2 linked regions of the Oryctolagus cuniculus genome follow. The protein of the gene in region 1 interacts with the protein of each later gene in a pairwise test. Links are inferred from orthologs where the notes say so. Each region holds a gene or a part of one and is shown on either strand. Other genes may lie near its edges.

The links.
Region 2: the proteins of RUFY1 (region 1) and RAB39B interact in binary tests that used the Homo sapiens proteins (3 or more experiments, as listed by UniProt). The two-hybrid records come from large-scale screens. The link is inferred for Oryctolagus cuniculus from reciprocal best matches to the Homo sapiens genes RUFY1 and RAB39B.

What each region holds. Positions count from the first base shown.
Region 1 is NC_091437.1:67,937,300-67,945,051, forward strand, and holds the start of RUFY1 (RUN and FYVE domain-containing protein 1), read right to left. Parts: upstream 4,069-7,752; 5' UTR 4,048-4,068; coding exon 3,759-4,047; intron 1-3,758. UniProt on the Homo sapiens protein: Activating adapter involved in cargo sorting from early/recycling endosomes. Regulates retrieval of proteins from endosomes to the trans-Golgi network through interaction with the dynein-dynactin complex.
Region 2 is NC_091453.1:133,767,184-133,775,156, forward strand, and holds RAB39B (ras-related protein Rab-39B), read right to left. Parts: upstream 4,665-7,973; coding exon 4,450-4,664; intron 2,307-4,449; exon of another isoform or gene 1,810-2,306; coding exon 1,383-1,809; downstream 1-1,382. UniProt on the Homo sapiens protein: The small GTPases Rab are key regulators of intracellular membrane trafficking, from the formation of transport vesicles to their fusion with membranes.

The sequences.
Region 1 (7,752 bases):
GATCAAAGCCAGGAGCCAGGAGCTTCCTCCAGGTCTTCCCATGCGGGTGCAGGGCCCCAAGGACAGCGCCAGCCCTCTTGGTATTTATTTTTAAGATGAATGGTGATGCTTATGAAATCATTAGTGTAATATACATAACCCTTGATGCACTTTAAAGAACCATCGAAGAGTTTTATTTTAAAAAGTCAGCATTTACAAACCAGAAAAATGTATACATGGGAAGAACTGGAGGAAGAACTGTGGCTCACTTGGTTAATCCTCCACCTGTGGGGCCAGCATCCCATATGGGTGCCGGGTTCTAGTCCCAGTTGCCCCTCTTCCAGTCCAGCTCTCTGCTGTGGCCCCGGAGAGCAGTGGAGGATGGCCCAAGTGCTTAGGCCCTGCACCCGCATGGGAGACCGGGAGGAAGCACACTGCAACCTAGAAAAATGTACTCTGAACAGCTTTAAAATTTTGATCAAGAATTTTATGTAACAACTTTAAAAGTTGGAGATGTCTTTGATGGGTAACACATGTGAGTAAAGCTGTGCAGTCCAGAGTTGCAAGCGAGCAGAGGCGGGCAGCAGCGGCTTGCAGCGACCGCCGTCCCTAGGAACGCCAGCTCACCCATCCTGTGCTCTCGGGCGCCTTGTCTTGCTTACACTCAATTTACAGTCTCAGAAAGTTAGAGCAGGACCTGTCTTTTGGCCCTTCTCTCAGTGTTACTGGCTTTGTGACTTTGGCCAGGCTAAGCGTGATTAATGATGGCACAGCACACAAGTGTTGGGACACGGCGAAGTTCTGCATTAAGTGGACAGCTCAACAGTCGGCAGGGGCTGGGCCCGCAACACGAACAATAAGCTGAGCTGGACAGAAAATGCCCGGTCTTGAGAGGTTCCAGGGACACTGGGGCAGGGAGCGGTTCTGAATTACACAAGAATGACTAGATTCTTCACATTTTTGATTTGGAGGAGCCCTTTGGTATCTCCAATGACATGACACAGGATGAGGTTATCCTGCACGGTACTGATGGAGACACGTTTTGCCACTTTCCTAATTGTTTTTGGCTAAATCAGAGTTTGGCAACATAAAGGGGGAAAAGTTGCAGTGTTTCACTCTGGAAAGTGTAGTACTTCTGCGGCAGGGACATTATTTTTTATGATTTATTTTATTTGAAAGGCAGAGTTACAGAGAGAGAGAGAGAGAAAGGAGATCTTATATCTGCTGGTTCACTCCCCAAATGGCCTCTGGGCCTGGGCCAGGCCGAAGCCAGGAACCTGGAACTCCATCTGGATCTACCACATGGGTTCAGGGACCCAAATCCTTGGGCCACCTTCCACTTATTTCCCAGACACATTAGTAGAGATCGGAAGTGGAGCAGATGAGAGCAAGCTGGTGGCGATATGGGATGCCGCCATCGCAGGCGGTGATTTAGCTTGCTTATGCCACAATGCCTGCCTGCAGGGGTATTTTAATGTGTGGCAAAGAATGGAAACAGGCATAATCCACACCAGTGATCTGATGACAAAGACTAAGTTGAACCATTTCAAAATAAAAGAGCACTTTTTTTTTTTTGAACAGCCATGAACAAGAAAGACCCGATGCTTGGTGTGTTCCCTCTTGGAAGCACATGTTTTATTACTCATCCTTTATTACTCATGAAAAGCAAGCTGTAGTGCCTCCTGTGTACATCCTGATGGCCTGAAGACTGTGAGAGAGGAAAGCACCCGTGCTACATGCAAGCACTTGGACAGACACAGCAGTGGGGACAGTTTCTTACAAGGAAGACTTACTGTACATTCAATGTTCTTTTGCATGGTTGGATTTTTGTTTTTATTTTTGATCTGATTTATTTATTTGAAAGGCAGAGTTACAGAGAGAGGCAGAGAGATCTTAACATCTGCTGGTTCACTCCCCAAATGGCTGCTATAGCTGGGGCTGGGCCAGGCTGAAGCTAGGAGCCAGGAGCCAGGAGCTTCCTCCAGGTCTCCCACATGGGTGTAGGAGCTCAAGTACTTGGGCCATCTTCTGCTGCTTTCTCAGGCACATTAGCAGGCAGCTGGATCAAAAGTGGAGCAGCCAGGACTTGAACTGGCACCCATATGGGATGCTGGCACTGCATGTGGCGGCTTTATCTGCTACGCCACAGCACTAGCCACATTTTTTTTTTTAAATCATGTGGCTTTATTGACTTAAAAAAAATCCCCCAAACAAAATAGATCCCATGTAGGATAACATCTTAAAGCAAATATGCCATATATCCCACAACATTGCACTGTGTTGTCTTGTAATCGCCATCATCAAAAATATTCCTAGCAGGAGCACACCTCCTCTCCAAGCTCTGCGCCTGGTGGCTGCCCTCGGAGATCACCCCGTCCTCAGCAGAGCAATGGGAAAGGAGGAGCCGGCATCCGCCCCAGGCCTGACACAAGTGCTGGCCACTGTCTCCCCACCAGTTTTCCTGAGGCCTCTGCAGAGGGTGATGCTCACATTTGGCTCCTTCCCCACCTCCGCTCCTGTCCTACCTGACCGTTTGAAATCTTTCAGGGACCAGCCAGGAAGCCATGCTCACGATTTTTTTTTTTTTTTAAAGATGTATTTATTTGAAAGACAGAGCTACAGGAGATGCACACACACACACACACACACAGAGAGAGAGAGAGAGAGAGAGAGAGAGAGAGAGAGAGAATCTTTCATCAGGTTCACTCCTCAAATGGCTGCGATGTCCAGGGCTGGGCCAGGCTGAAGCCAGGAGCCCCAAACGCCATCCTGGTCTCCTACATGGACAGCAGGGGTCCATCGTGTGCTGCCTTTCCAGGAAGCTGGATCGGAAGTGGTGCTCAGATAGATAAGGAATGCCAGTTCCCAGCTTAACTGGCTGTTCCACTCCAACACCAGCTTCCCCCCATGTTCATTTTTGTTCACAATTTTTGCCAGTTCAAGTGGCAGTTACCACTTACCATTTCTTTAAATTGACCAATTTTCAAAGTCCAAATGGTATATATTACTATATAAAGTTATCAAGGAGACAGGCAGTGAGGGATGGTAACTAAGAGCGTGGCTCCAGGAGTATCCTGATTTGGTGGAAGTATCCCCCTTTATAAAAGGGGTTACTAATGTCACCTGTCACTGGCCTGCTCAATTGTCAAGACCCTTCTCAAAACCGCAAATACTGTATTTCTGATCTGCGGTTGGTCGGTTACACCTGTGGCTGCAAAGCCCACCGACACAGAGAAGTTGATGTATGCACTTTGAGTTTGGGAATTGAAATTGAATCAATTAAGGGATTCCACTTTGGAATGTTAACTAATTTTTCATGCGAATGTCACCCGCGGCTCGTGGCTCCTGTGTGGGGCGGCACAGCCCAAACATCTGGTTTGGAGGGCTTGTTAGGGTCCTAACGGTTGGATGTTTCCAGTCTTCTCACGCCGACACTGCTCCAGACTACAAGCGCTGAAAAGCCCTCTGCGGAGATGCCCGCGTGACCGGGGCCGTGGCGGGAGGAGTGGCGGCTCGTCCCACGCGCTTCAGCGGCGGGCCCAAGCCTGCGGACTCCACGGCGAGCCCGGGGTGCGCGGGGGACACGCGGGCACCGGCGGGAAACACCACGGGTCTTGCTCCCCCAAACATTTAAACACCCGATACAGATTCCTAAAGCCTAGACGCCAACCCGGGAGCTTTCCGGGGCCGTTCCCGGGGAGCGCCACGAAACGCCGGGTGCGAGAGCCCGGCCCCAGCCCGCCGCGCAGCCCCGCGCGCTCTCCCGCGGGCCCCCCTACCTGCGCGCGCCGCCCCGTCCGCGCCGCCGTCCGTACCGCCCAGCCCCGCGGCCGCGCGCAGCGCGTTCCCGCAGCTCGCCGACAGGTTCCCGGTGGCCCGTCGCGCCAGGGTCAGAATGGGCGCCGACCAGCCCTCGGCCGCCTTGGCCGCGCTCCGCAGCGCGCCCGGGCTCGGCAACTGGCCGCGGTCCACGATCTCGAAGTCTTCTCCCGGCTCAGACCCCGGCCCGGACTCCGACTCCGGCTCCGGCTCCCGCCCCGCTGGGGAGCCGTCTTCCCGGTCGGCCATCTTGGCGGTGTCAAGTGGCCCGTGGGCGGGGCGTGGGTGCGGCGCGGGCGGGCGCGGCCTGGCGGGGGCGGTGCGGGCGGGCGTGCCTGTATCTTGGCAGGATTTTTTTTGCAGTGCTTGCAAGGTGCTTCTCCCTCCTCGCCGCCGTCTTCACCTTTCTTTCACTCTGAAACCATTCAGGGCCAGGACAGATTGTAAAATAAGAAACATCCTTGGCAGCTGGGGCTCCTGTTTGCATGGAAAGTTCTTCTTGAACTTCCTCTCTCCCGGGACCCTTGCACTCCCAGCCTGGCCCGTATTGGGGCCCCGGACTTCACTTTCTCTGTGATGCTGTTTCCCGTTTTTAATTTTCATTTCCTATTTTGCGTTTTTTTTTTTTTTTAAATTTCTTGACAGGCAGAGTGGACAGTGAGAGAGAGAGAGAGAGACAGAGAGAAAGGTCTTCCTTTGCCGTTGGTTCACCCTCCAATGGCCGCCGCGGCTGGCGCGCTGCACAGGGCTGATCCGAAAATTGCAGGAGCCAGGTACTTATCCTGGTCTCCCATGGGGTGCAGGGCCCAAGGACTTGGGCCATCCTCCACTGCACTCCCTGGCCACAGCAGAGAGCTGGCCTGGAAGAGGGGCAACCGGGACAGAATCCGGCGCCCCGATTGGGACTAGAACCCCGTGTGCCGGCGCCACAAGGCGGAGAATTAGCCTAGTGAGCCGCATCGCCGGCCCTATTTTGCGTTTTCTACCTTGTCATCTTTCCGCAGCAGTCTTCAGAAAGAGCCATCATTGCATGGGCGAATTAGCAAACTGGAACAGAGGTGCCAGGAGAGTTTTTTTGTTTTTTGTTTTTTCCTTTTAAATTAAGGGAAAATATGCTACTGCGGGTCCGTGAAGGGTGCACTGGAAATCAGATCTGGTCCTGCTCTTATGACGACAGCGCTGCGCCCATCATTAAGGAACGCTGGGCAGATGTTAAGGACATCTTCAGCCTGTTTCCTCCCTTGGGAAAGAAAGAAATTTGGCTTAAACCAGAAAACTTTCATTTTGGAACCCTCATGAGGGTGGGGACATCTTTACAGCTTGTTGCGGACGTGCAGGAACCAGAAGTTTCACATAAAACTTTGGAGTTGCGTCTTCTCTGAGTCGTGGGGAGATTAAGCAACCTGGCATATGCCCTATTGGCAGCAACTGTTGGATTCAGCCATGGCTGCTGCGTAGGATAAACGGGCTCAGTGACACCTGGGAAAGCGTGGGGAGGCCGATTGTGGCAGGGCCATGCTGATGCGTGGAGCGGCAGCAGCAATGGGGTTTGCAGCTGGGAAACAGGTTGAGCTCAGTTCAGAGCTCAGCACAGGCACAGGCACAGGGAGACGGGATGCCAAGGAGCAGGGTGCGGTCCGTGGGTGCAAAATGAGCAAAGAGGACCAGCAAGAGTGAAGGGGACTCTGAGGAGACTCAACAGGCTTCGTGCTGAATTTGGGCCAGGGTGATCAGAACCAGAGCAGGGGAGGGAGGAGGCAGAGGATGAGGAACCTAAGTGGATGGTGAGTGTTATGGGTGGTTCTTGTTAACGTGGCTTAGCGGGGCTCCTCCGTAAAACCGGTTTTTATGAAGAAGAGTACTGATAGGCCAAGGAGGAAGTTCAGAAGCCTGACTCAGGGATGGTCGAGAAAAGAATCTTGGTTATTGCTGTTTTAGCAGTGGAGGTGCTCTGGTCCAGCCATTTCACTGGTTTTCATGACCTGTGCGGTCCCTGAAGGCCGGTTCTCTGTGGGGTGCTGCTGCAGCCAGGGGAGCTGGTGAGATGGTGTTTGATCGTCCCGGTGGGCTGCCGCTTCTGGTCTTTACCAGGTGGAGGGGGCAAAGGTGTCCTGGGATAAGAATAGTCCCACACCCCTCATCCCTTCCCAGTGCTGCCAGGTGTTTATTTTTATTTATTTTTAAAAAAGATTTATTTGTAAGACAGAGCCACAGAGAGAGGTAGAGACAGAGAGAGACCGAGAGGTCTTCCATCCTCTGGTTCACTCCTCAAATAACAGGGACGGCTGGAGCTAAGCCAATCTGAAACCAGGAGCCAGGAGCTTCTTCTGGGTCTCCCACATGGGTGCAGGGCTCCAAACACTTGGGCTGTTCTGTGCTGTTTTCCCAGGTGCATTAGCAGGGAGCTGAATCAAAAGTGGAGCAGCCAGGACTTGAACCAGCAGCTGTAAAAGATACTGGCACTGCAGGCCTGTGCTTTAACCAACTGTACCACAGCACTTGCCCTGCAGGTGTTTATATTGCTGCAAAGCTTATTTATAATGATCAGGGCCTGGAACTGAATTCTATTTTGTGTAGAAACAAATTTTTTTTTGAGGAATAGCTTTAATATTGCATCAGGCCTTGTCCCTCAAATCTCAGTGGCTTTAACATAAAAGCTTATATCTTGTGCATTGCAAATCAGCAAAGAGGCAGGGACTGCTCTGCTCATGCCTGGGAGTCTCCTGGGCCCTAGGCTTCAGGGGCCTGCATTACTCTGAGTAGAGTTTTGCATCCACAATTCACTTATGCACAGTTCATTGACAAAGCAGTGTCCTGGCCATGTCTAACTTCTTGGGAAGTGAGAAGTTCAGTCCTACTAGTGTCTGGGAAAAAGAGAATGAGAAATACTGATGAGCAGAATAACCACTATCATCAATTGTGGGGAGCAACTCGGACTAGACTAAGTTACTGGAATTAAGACTTAATTCTATGCATCTGCTCTCCCACAATATGGCGCTGGGAGAGGAGTAAACAGCTTCTACGCAGCTGCCTCTCGCCAACTTGAGTGATGACCTGCAGGAGCTGATCCTGCTCCTGATTGGAGGAGAGCAGCGTACTCGGCGTGTGGGTAGCAGAGTTGGGATTGGTGGAAGAGGACTATAAAGGAGGAGAGAGACAACATGCACCAGGAACATCTCAGAGGAACACCTGTGCAGCCCCCGAGAGAGCCGGCTGGCGGTGTGCCGCTCCCCCGCGGAAGTGGAGAAAGTGGCAGGGGGAACCGCCCTTCCACGGAGGTGGAAGGAACGGTAGCCAACCCGGGAAGAACCAGCAGCAAACCTGGGGAGGGCCGAGCAGACAAAAGAACAGCGCAGGGTCCTGTGTCATTCCTCCGTGAAGAGGGGGAGTGACAATCAATGAACCCTTCTTTTTCTCAGAATGGAGTATATTATCAAAAAGGAGTGATGAAGAGACTTGTAGAATGACAATTGCTTTAAGTAGCACTCTGACCTCAGAATCAGCCCTAAAGGCATCTGGTCTGGCTGAAAAGCCCACAAGACCATTTCAGGTATGGAAAGCCAAGACACTGTGGCAAAAAAATATCCTACACGAGGGACCTTGGTGGGTGAGACCCCAGTGGAAAGAAGGAGGTACTTTTCTCTGACAGGAGGAGAGAACTTCCACTTGGCTTATGGCCTTGTCTGAATACTGACAGAGTTTGTAGATTCAAAAGACTTCCATAGCCATAGAAGCTCATGTCAAGATCCTCAGGTGGTCACTGACATCATACATAGGAGTGCTAATTGTTAAATTAACAACAGGAGTAGCTGTGCACTAACTCCCCATGCAGGACCTTTGTCCTCAAAGAGTTGGATTATGAGAGTTAACAGTAAAACTTGTTCACAAAGATTATTTCATTTTAGTGTACTAAGTGGAGGATATTCTTATGTCTCATAAGTTTCAGTTATACCT
Region 2 (7,973 bases), on another chromosome or scaffold:
GGTAGACACAAGGCAGTGTAGGCATAGGGCAGACAGGTAGCCCAGGTCATTGTGGGGTGAGTATTTTTGTACCCATCCCACTCCCCATTGCTGTATGTGGTTATTTTCAATAAAATGTTCATTGTGTCTCAATGATAAGAACACTTAACAGCCCACAGTTCTGATGTGTTTTCAGTTGTGGGGTTACTCACTTGTTTATCACTGTATCTTATCAGTAATACCTGAATGGGCTTTACCTTTGACTAATTCTCATGTTCCATCAGGAATATAGCTGAGTTTTAATCAAAAGGGAAACATATCCTAACATGTACAGGACATTTATTTACAGTCATATCTCTTCCAGAGTAAACACATTAATAATTGTTTATTCATCTGACAGAGGATGATGCAGTGAAAAGAACTACGAGTCAGGAGTCTTTGACCTTGGCCAAGTAAGTCTCCTGCCTGTTAGTTCACTACTCAGTGCAATGGTGACAAAAACTTCTCAGGCCTGTTAGGATGATCAAATAAGTAGCATAAGGAACTGTCATGTGCTTGTAAGGGTGATAATGCTCACTATTGAGCAGGTACTCAGCACAAGACTGTTGAGCAAGGATTTGCCTTTGGGCTATTTTCAGAGGCCATCCCTATGTTGTCCCTGTCAGGTGTTTAAAGAAGCAGCAGGCTATTTACTTCAATATTGCAGTTGCCAGTGCCATGAAACTGTAGGCACAGATGGGGGGGGGGGGGAGTATGGCTACCCATATGGTAATTTGCACAGGACAATTTCTTTTACATAGCTGAGAATTCTACCATTAGAGTATACATTTTCTCAAATGGCCTCCTTTTCATATCCACATGTAAGTATCTTAGCAAATGGCTGGTTCATATCCCTTATTTTACAGAAACTAACTTGTACCTTGTAACCAAACCCAGCACACACAGTTGGTATAGAATATTTTCTCTGAATAAGTTGATCTCACAGTCTTTTAGTTATGTTACTTGTTATCCATGTGATACTTTTTTCCCTTTACATGTTTCTTTATGTTCATGACCCATGAGTTAGTGGAAATACCAAGGAACAATAGGTGTCTTGTCTGTAGGATTGTTTTCCTGGGATCTAGCTTTTCAAACCCCAGGCCTTTAATATGTGGCTCACCAAGGGCACACAGAGCAGCCATTGCTCAGCGTGGGCCACAAAACAGTGTCTGGCCCTGTCCAGCCCATATGCACAGTGCAGTCCCTCAGTCCCAGCACCAGGCTCCCCCATCCACCCAGGGAAGGCGTCTCACTTGGTATCCAAATGGAGGTTCAGTTCTCTTCAGTCACAGAAAGGTTCTATTCATTTTGGTGGTTTTTGTAAGTTCAGGTGCGAGAGCATGTTTGGGAAAGAAAAGGGCCAACTAGCACAAACACCTCCTCTCTGATTTAACAACCTCTTCTGAAGAGTGAACCACATTTGGCACAAATCCACTCTTCACCCCTTCCCAGCCCTCCTGGATTGTAATCTCCCCCCTTTTAACCAGCTCATATATGTCTCTCGTCAGGTCTGTGAAGGCTTTCTCCACATTAATGGCATCTCGGGCTGACGTTTCAATGTACTTCATGCCGTATGCAGCAGCCAGTTTCTCGGCCTCGTGGCGAGTCACTTGCCTCTGAGTATCCAGGTCACACTTGTGACCCACCAGAACAAACACAATTTGGTAGGGCTGAACGTGTACTTTGGTCTCTTCTAACCACTCATGGACATTCTGGAAGGACCTGCGGTTGGTAATGTCAAATAAGAGAAGACCGCCTACTGAGTTCCTGTAGTAGGCTCGAGTGATGGATCTAAAACACAAGAAAGAAGTAAAGAATAAGGCCATGTGCAAATTCCTGCACGTCAATGAACTCAGAAGATTTTAGTGTTCCTGGTGATTACTCTCATAGCCATTTAATAAAAGCGATTTTATGTTTAAAGAAACAAGAGAATACAAATGCTTTTCTATAATAATTATGAAATACAACTTTTCAATTGGAAAAAAATTTGAGATAGCATCTTGTACAAATGAATGCTCATAGTGTTTCAGGCCTTTTCCCTCAGTTAAGCACTGGAAATGCTGGGAAATGATTGACTTTTATTTCCTGCCTTCAGACAAAACCACAACTAACTCCCACCACCAAATATGAACAACTGGTAGAGACTTCCTCTTCTGCAAAATGAGTCAGAGGGTTATCATGAGGCAAAATGAAGTAACAGATGTTAAAGTATCCTGTGACCTAGAGGGTTAGTTCATCAGAAATGCTAGTAATTGAAATGGGAGTCGTCAAAAATAAAAATGTACTTATGATAGTTAATAGAAATTCATTATAAGTATCTTACACTGCACCGTGCTTTTTCTGTTGATTGTTACTATGTTTTACTCTTTCCATTGTGCCTATTATTACCTACCAAGGATCCTCAATCTCTTCTGTGAGGAGAAAGACAATTTGTTTTCTTTTCCAGGCCATGTGGGAACAGTTAAAAAAAAAAAAAAAAGAAGTGGTGAAAGGGTTAGGGGACACATTTATGAGAGTCAAGCTCAGGATCTACCAACTAGGAAAATCCACCTGAATAGTCAAAGCTTCCCCCTAAAATAATATGATTGATTTAAGCCAGGGCACTTGGAATATTTGTAAAATTTGTTGTATATTTGCCATACTTCTTAGAAGAAATCTCACTGATTTTAACTTCTTGATTGGAGGAGCTTCATTATCAATATACATTATGGTACTTTGCTTGGAATATATTAGAGCCTATTAGAGGGGTTAGAACTTGCTTTAGTCTACTGTGACTTTTACATATACCTGTTTTTAGGTTTTCTGTCTCCTTGAATGAAAAATGTGAACAATGAAGGACTCAATAGCTTAAAGCTTAGGTGAAATGAACCAATGTTAACAGAACAAATATTGTCCAGGAAATTACAGTCCATGCTAGATGATGGTAAGCCCAAACAAGTTCATCTCCAGGATCAGGCAGGTCAACCTCAGGGAAGTAAAAACATTTCTAATTGCCTTGACTTCTGAGGATTCATGGTTAATGGTGGTGAGCCAGAAAATTAGACATGAAGGAAGGTTTTGATTTGTGAATGCTTGACTCAAGAAATCAATAAGCTGTAAGTCCCCAAAAGTGTGCTACAATGTATTATTACATTAATGGCTTCTGAGTATTTAGCAAAGTGACAAAACCCTTTCCTTTCCAAGCATAACACAAGGCTACATAAAACTTAAAATCTTCCCTACATAAAAATATCTTAGAGTGAAAACACAAAGGACAAACTGGAAAAAATATCTTACATGACAGGAAAGGGTTAATATTGTTACTCTGTAAATAATGGTTGCAAATAAATGGTAAATATTGGATATGACTAGAATGTTAATACAGAAATTCCAACATATAAAAGATATTTTTCTTCACCCATGAGAAATGCAATCACAGGTTGAAAGTGAACCTGTGCAAGAATATTTGCCACAGTGCGGTTTGTGGAAGCTGGGAGTTGGAGACAACTTAAGTTTATTATTTCCTATTCTCCCAGTATTTTTTAAATTACTTAACCAGTATCTTGCATGCTCAATGAGTGTTCAATAGATACATGAATAAATGATCATAAACATAGGCTGTTGAGTTCTCAATCTGATTCTTGCTGCTCTGAGTTTAGTTCAAATTGTTCTCTATAAAGTTTTCCGTGTACACATTGATCTTTTCCAGTTAGTTTTCCCTCCTCTGTGTTCATGTATGTAAGTACAAATAATAAATGCTATAAAGGAAAAGCAAAGGATTGTAAGAGAACATTAAACATGTTCACTGATTACTCATCATGTGGCAGGTGTTAAAGTAGGGAGAGGAGCCACAAATACAAACAAGACATTCTTTTGTGTAATTCATGATTATTTCCCCCTAATAGGTCAGCACAGAACTTCTAGGAGGGAAGGGGTTGTGTGTTATTTTTAATAGATGGCATCCCTCATGTGGTTTCTCTAGAAACAAGTCCAGTGCCTGCCACATAGTAGGTGATCACTGATCACTGAATGTCTGCTGTTTGTAAAAAGGAATCAATCGATTTTGTTAAGACACATCTAGGTGTGTGTGTATGTGTGTGTATGTGTGTGTGTATCTCATGTATATACACAGAGAGATATAGAAACAAAATCTATGTGTCTTTGTCAGTTACATTAGGATGGCCTCTGGGAACAGTTTTGAAAGGATGTAACATAGGGACTGAGGTTGAATTACAGGAATCAATTCCAGATAGGAGAGGGTCCTGGTTATTAACTGGCCTTCTCTGCTATCGCGTTTCTTTCCCTACATTGCAGTCACAGAAGACCACCCCCCACCCCAACCCTTAGTTTGCCCTTTGAACAGCAACTAGGACCAGGAAGTCCTCGCTCCCCAGGGTCTGTGCAAGCCCTGAAGACCCTCCCATTGGTCATGGGCCCGGGCTGCGCTCCCACCTGAACCTCTCTTGACCCGCCGTATCCCAGATCTGGAGCTTGATGCGTTTTCCTGGCTCGATCTCCACCAAACGGGAGAAAAAATCCACTCCTACGGTGGGATCCGAAACCTGGGCAAAGCGACCCTCGGTGAAACGCCGAATCAAGCAGGACTTGCCCACCGTGGAATCCCCGATGACAATGAGCCGGAACTGGTACAGCCAGATGGCCTCCATGGCAGCGGCTTGGCAGGTCTCCTTGGCCCAGGCTGGGGGCGGCAGGAGGGGGCCCCCCGCCTAAGCCTCGGAGAGCTCGGCTTGGCCCCAATCTAGCTGGACCATGAGCTCATCGCTGGCCTGCTAGCCCAAAGCGAGGTAGGCCCAGGCGCGAGGAGAGCAGAGGGATAGATGCTGCGCTTGCAAAGGTGATGAAATGGCAGCAGCATCAGCACCACGCACTCTGACTCATCACTGACAACCGAGCTACTGTAATCCCTCGTGTAGACGCGACTCCCAGGGCTGCCGCCGCACTTTCTCTAAGAAGAGCGCACTCGCAAACGACCTTGAGAACAGCACATTCCCTTTTCCTTCTTTTTTTTTTTTTAATTTTCTTTTCCTTTCTTCTCCTCTTTTTTCTTTTCTCTTCTCTTCCCTTCCTTTACTCCCCTCCCCTTCCCCCACCCTTCCCCTCCCCTCCTGTCTTCTCTCTCCTCTCCTCTCCTCTCTCTTCTCTCTTCCCCTCCCCTCCCCTCCCCTCTCTTTTCTCTTTTTCTTTTTTGTCTTTTCTTTTTAAAAGAAATTATTTGAAAACCAGAATTATACAGAGAGGGAGGGACAGACAGAGATCTTCTATCAATAAATTCACTCCCCAAGTGGCTGCAACAGCAGGAACTAGTCCAGGCTGAAGCCAGGAGCCAGGAGCTTCATCCTAGTTTCCCACGTGGCTGGCAGTGACCCAACTACTTGCACATCTTTTGATACCTTCCCAGGCCATTAGCAGGGGTGTGAATCAGTAGAAGTCAGGACTCAGAAACTAACACTCATTTATGGTCTCGCCTTTCATTTTTTATTGCCTCTTTGTAATTTAAAATTTCCTCTATCATTTAAATTGCAAATGTAATATCTTTCCATTGAAACTAGTGAAGTAATGCAAAATGTATGCAAAAATAGGACGTTTATAATTATATATTCATCTACATGTGTTTCCACATTTACATAAATATACAAACATACGTGAGTGTCCATATACATTTATTATTTTGTTTTCACTAAGATTCAAGATTGAATCAAAGTGGATCATTACTTTCAAACTTGCTTTTTGCAGTTAATTAAGCATCATAAACCTCTCCATTTCCAACTCATATTCTTTTTGCCTTAAAATTTTAAGGAAGAAAGGAATGAATATGCAGGAAAGCATGCAAGTATCATTATATTCTGAGAATTGTTCCTAGGAACTACATTGAATCTGTTGTTTGTATTAATATCATATTAAAATGAGAATTGGTGTAATTATCATGCATTTACTATGACCCTGAGAATCTAATATATTAATAAATTCCTTTGATTAAAAAATTAAAACAGATTTTATGTACAGTCACACTAACTTTATTTCTATGAACCAGACTCTTAAAGTGGGGCCAAGGACAGGGGTGTTATACATTCCAAAGATATTTACCAATTTATATTGCAGCCAGTAAAGTGTGGAAAGACAATTTCTTCTTCATATCCTTTGTATTTTTGTATATACTTTTTATTGTTACATTACACAATTTTATTGTTATATAAATTCACACATCATACAATTTCTCTATTCAGGGAACAATTAAATGATTTTTAGCATAGTCACAATATGTGTAATTGTTACCACAGTTAATTTTAGATAATTTTTAAAATATTTATATATTTATTTAAAAGGCAGAGTTACAGAAAGAGAAGGAGAGACAGACAGAGAGACAGAGAGAGAGAGAAAAGAGAGAGAAATCTTTTCAGTGGTTAACTCTCTGAATGCAAATGGCTACAATGGGTGGGTGCAGGGGCCCCGGTCATCTTCCACAGTTTTCCCAGACTGCTAACAGAGAGCTGGACTGAAGGTGGAGTGGCCAGGACTTGAACTGGTGCCCATGTGGGATGCTGGCATCGCAGGCAGCCACTAACCTGCTACATTGCAATCCTGGCTCCAGGAGATTTTTTTTTTTTATCACTTTGAAAAGAAAGTGCAAACATTTTATCCATTGTAGTCCCTGGCCACCACTAACCTACTTTCTGGCTCAATATATTTCCCTATTCTGGACATTTAGTATAAATGAAATCATACAAAATGTGAATTTTTGTAACTGGCTTAATCACTTAGCATTTTCAAGGTCTATCCATATTGTAACATGAGCCAGTAACATTGGCACTCTATGTCCATGGGATTCAAAAATATTTGGGAAAAAGGTTATCTGTACTGAACACACACTGAAGTTTTTCCTTGTTATAGTCCCTAAACAATACAGCATAAGTTATTGACATAGTGTTTACATTGTGTTAGGTATTATAAGGAATCTACAGATGATTTAAAATATTTGGGAGGATATGCCTAGGCTCTCCTGCTCATCGACAACAAGAAATCCATTAGCTGGCTGTGAGACTAGGGCTTCAGACACCATCTGGTGTGATTTGGTTTTTCTTTTTCCTCTCTCCAAGCTGCTAGTAGTGTCCCACTGCAATCCCGTTGCTCTCTTACTGCTGCCAGGGCTCTTCCTTAGGCACTCACATGTAGACATAGTTGCCCTGCAGGAGGAGGTAAATACTGGACTTCACTATATGACTATCTTGAATCCACTCTCAGTTTCTAGTATTTTGTTTAGGATTTTTCACACCTACATTCAAAATATTTATTGGTGGGGGTTTTCTTATTGTTAGGACTTTCTGTGGTTCTACTTTTTGTAAGGGTTTGTGAAGAACTGTTTACTGTCTCAATCTTTATCTATTATCTATTTATCTATCTGTCATCTGTCTATATCTACCTATCATCTATCATATAGTCATAAGAACATTTAATGTAATATATAGCATCTCAGAAAAAAATTTAACTTTCTCTTTAAAGAAAATGGATAGAACTGGAGATCATTATGCTAAGTGAAATAAGCTAGACACAGAAAGAAAAATACATGTTTTCTTTTTTCTCATATGTGGAATTTAATTTATATACAGAGATATAGACAGTGTAAGAAATGTATGGGTGCCGTATTATTTGGTATATAGATAGTTACACATATTGTCTTCATTGAATTATACCATTTATATAATAATATACCCTTTTTTAAATAATTATTTTATTTATTTGAAAGAGAGTTAAAGAGAGAAGTAGAGCCATAAAGAGAGAGGTCTTCCATTCCACTGGTTCACTCCCCAAAATGGCCACAACAACCAGGGCTGAGCTGATCCGAAGCCAGGAGCCGGGAGCTTCTTCCAGGTCTCCCATGCGGGTGCAGGGGCCCAAGGACTTGGGCCATCTTCCACTGCAATCCCAGGCCATAGAAGTGGAGCAGCCAGGACTCGAAC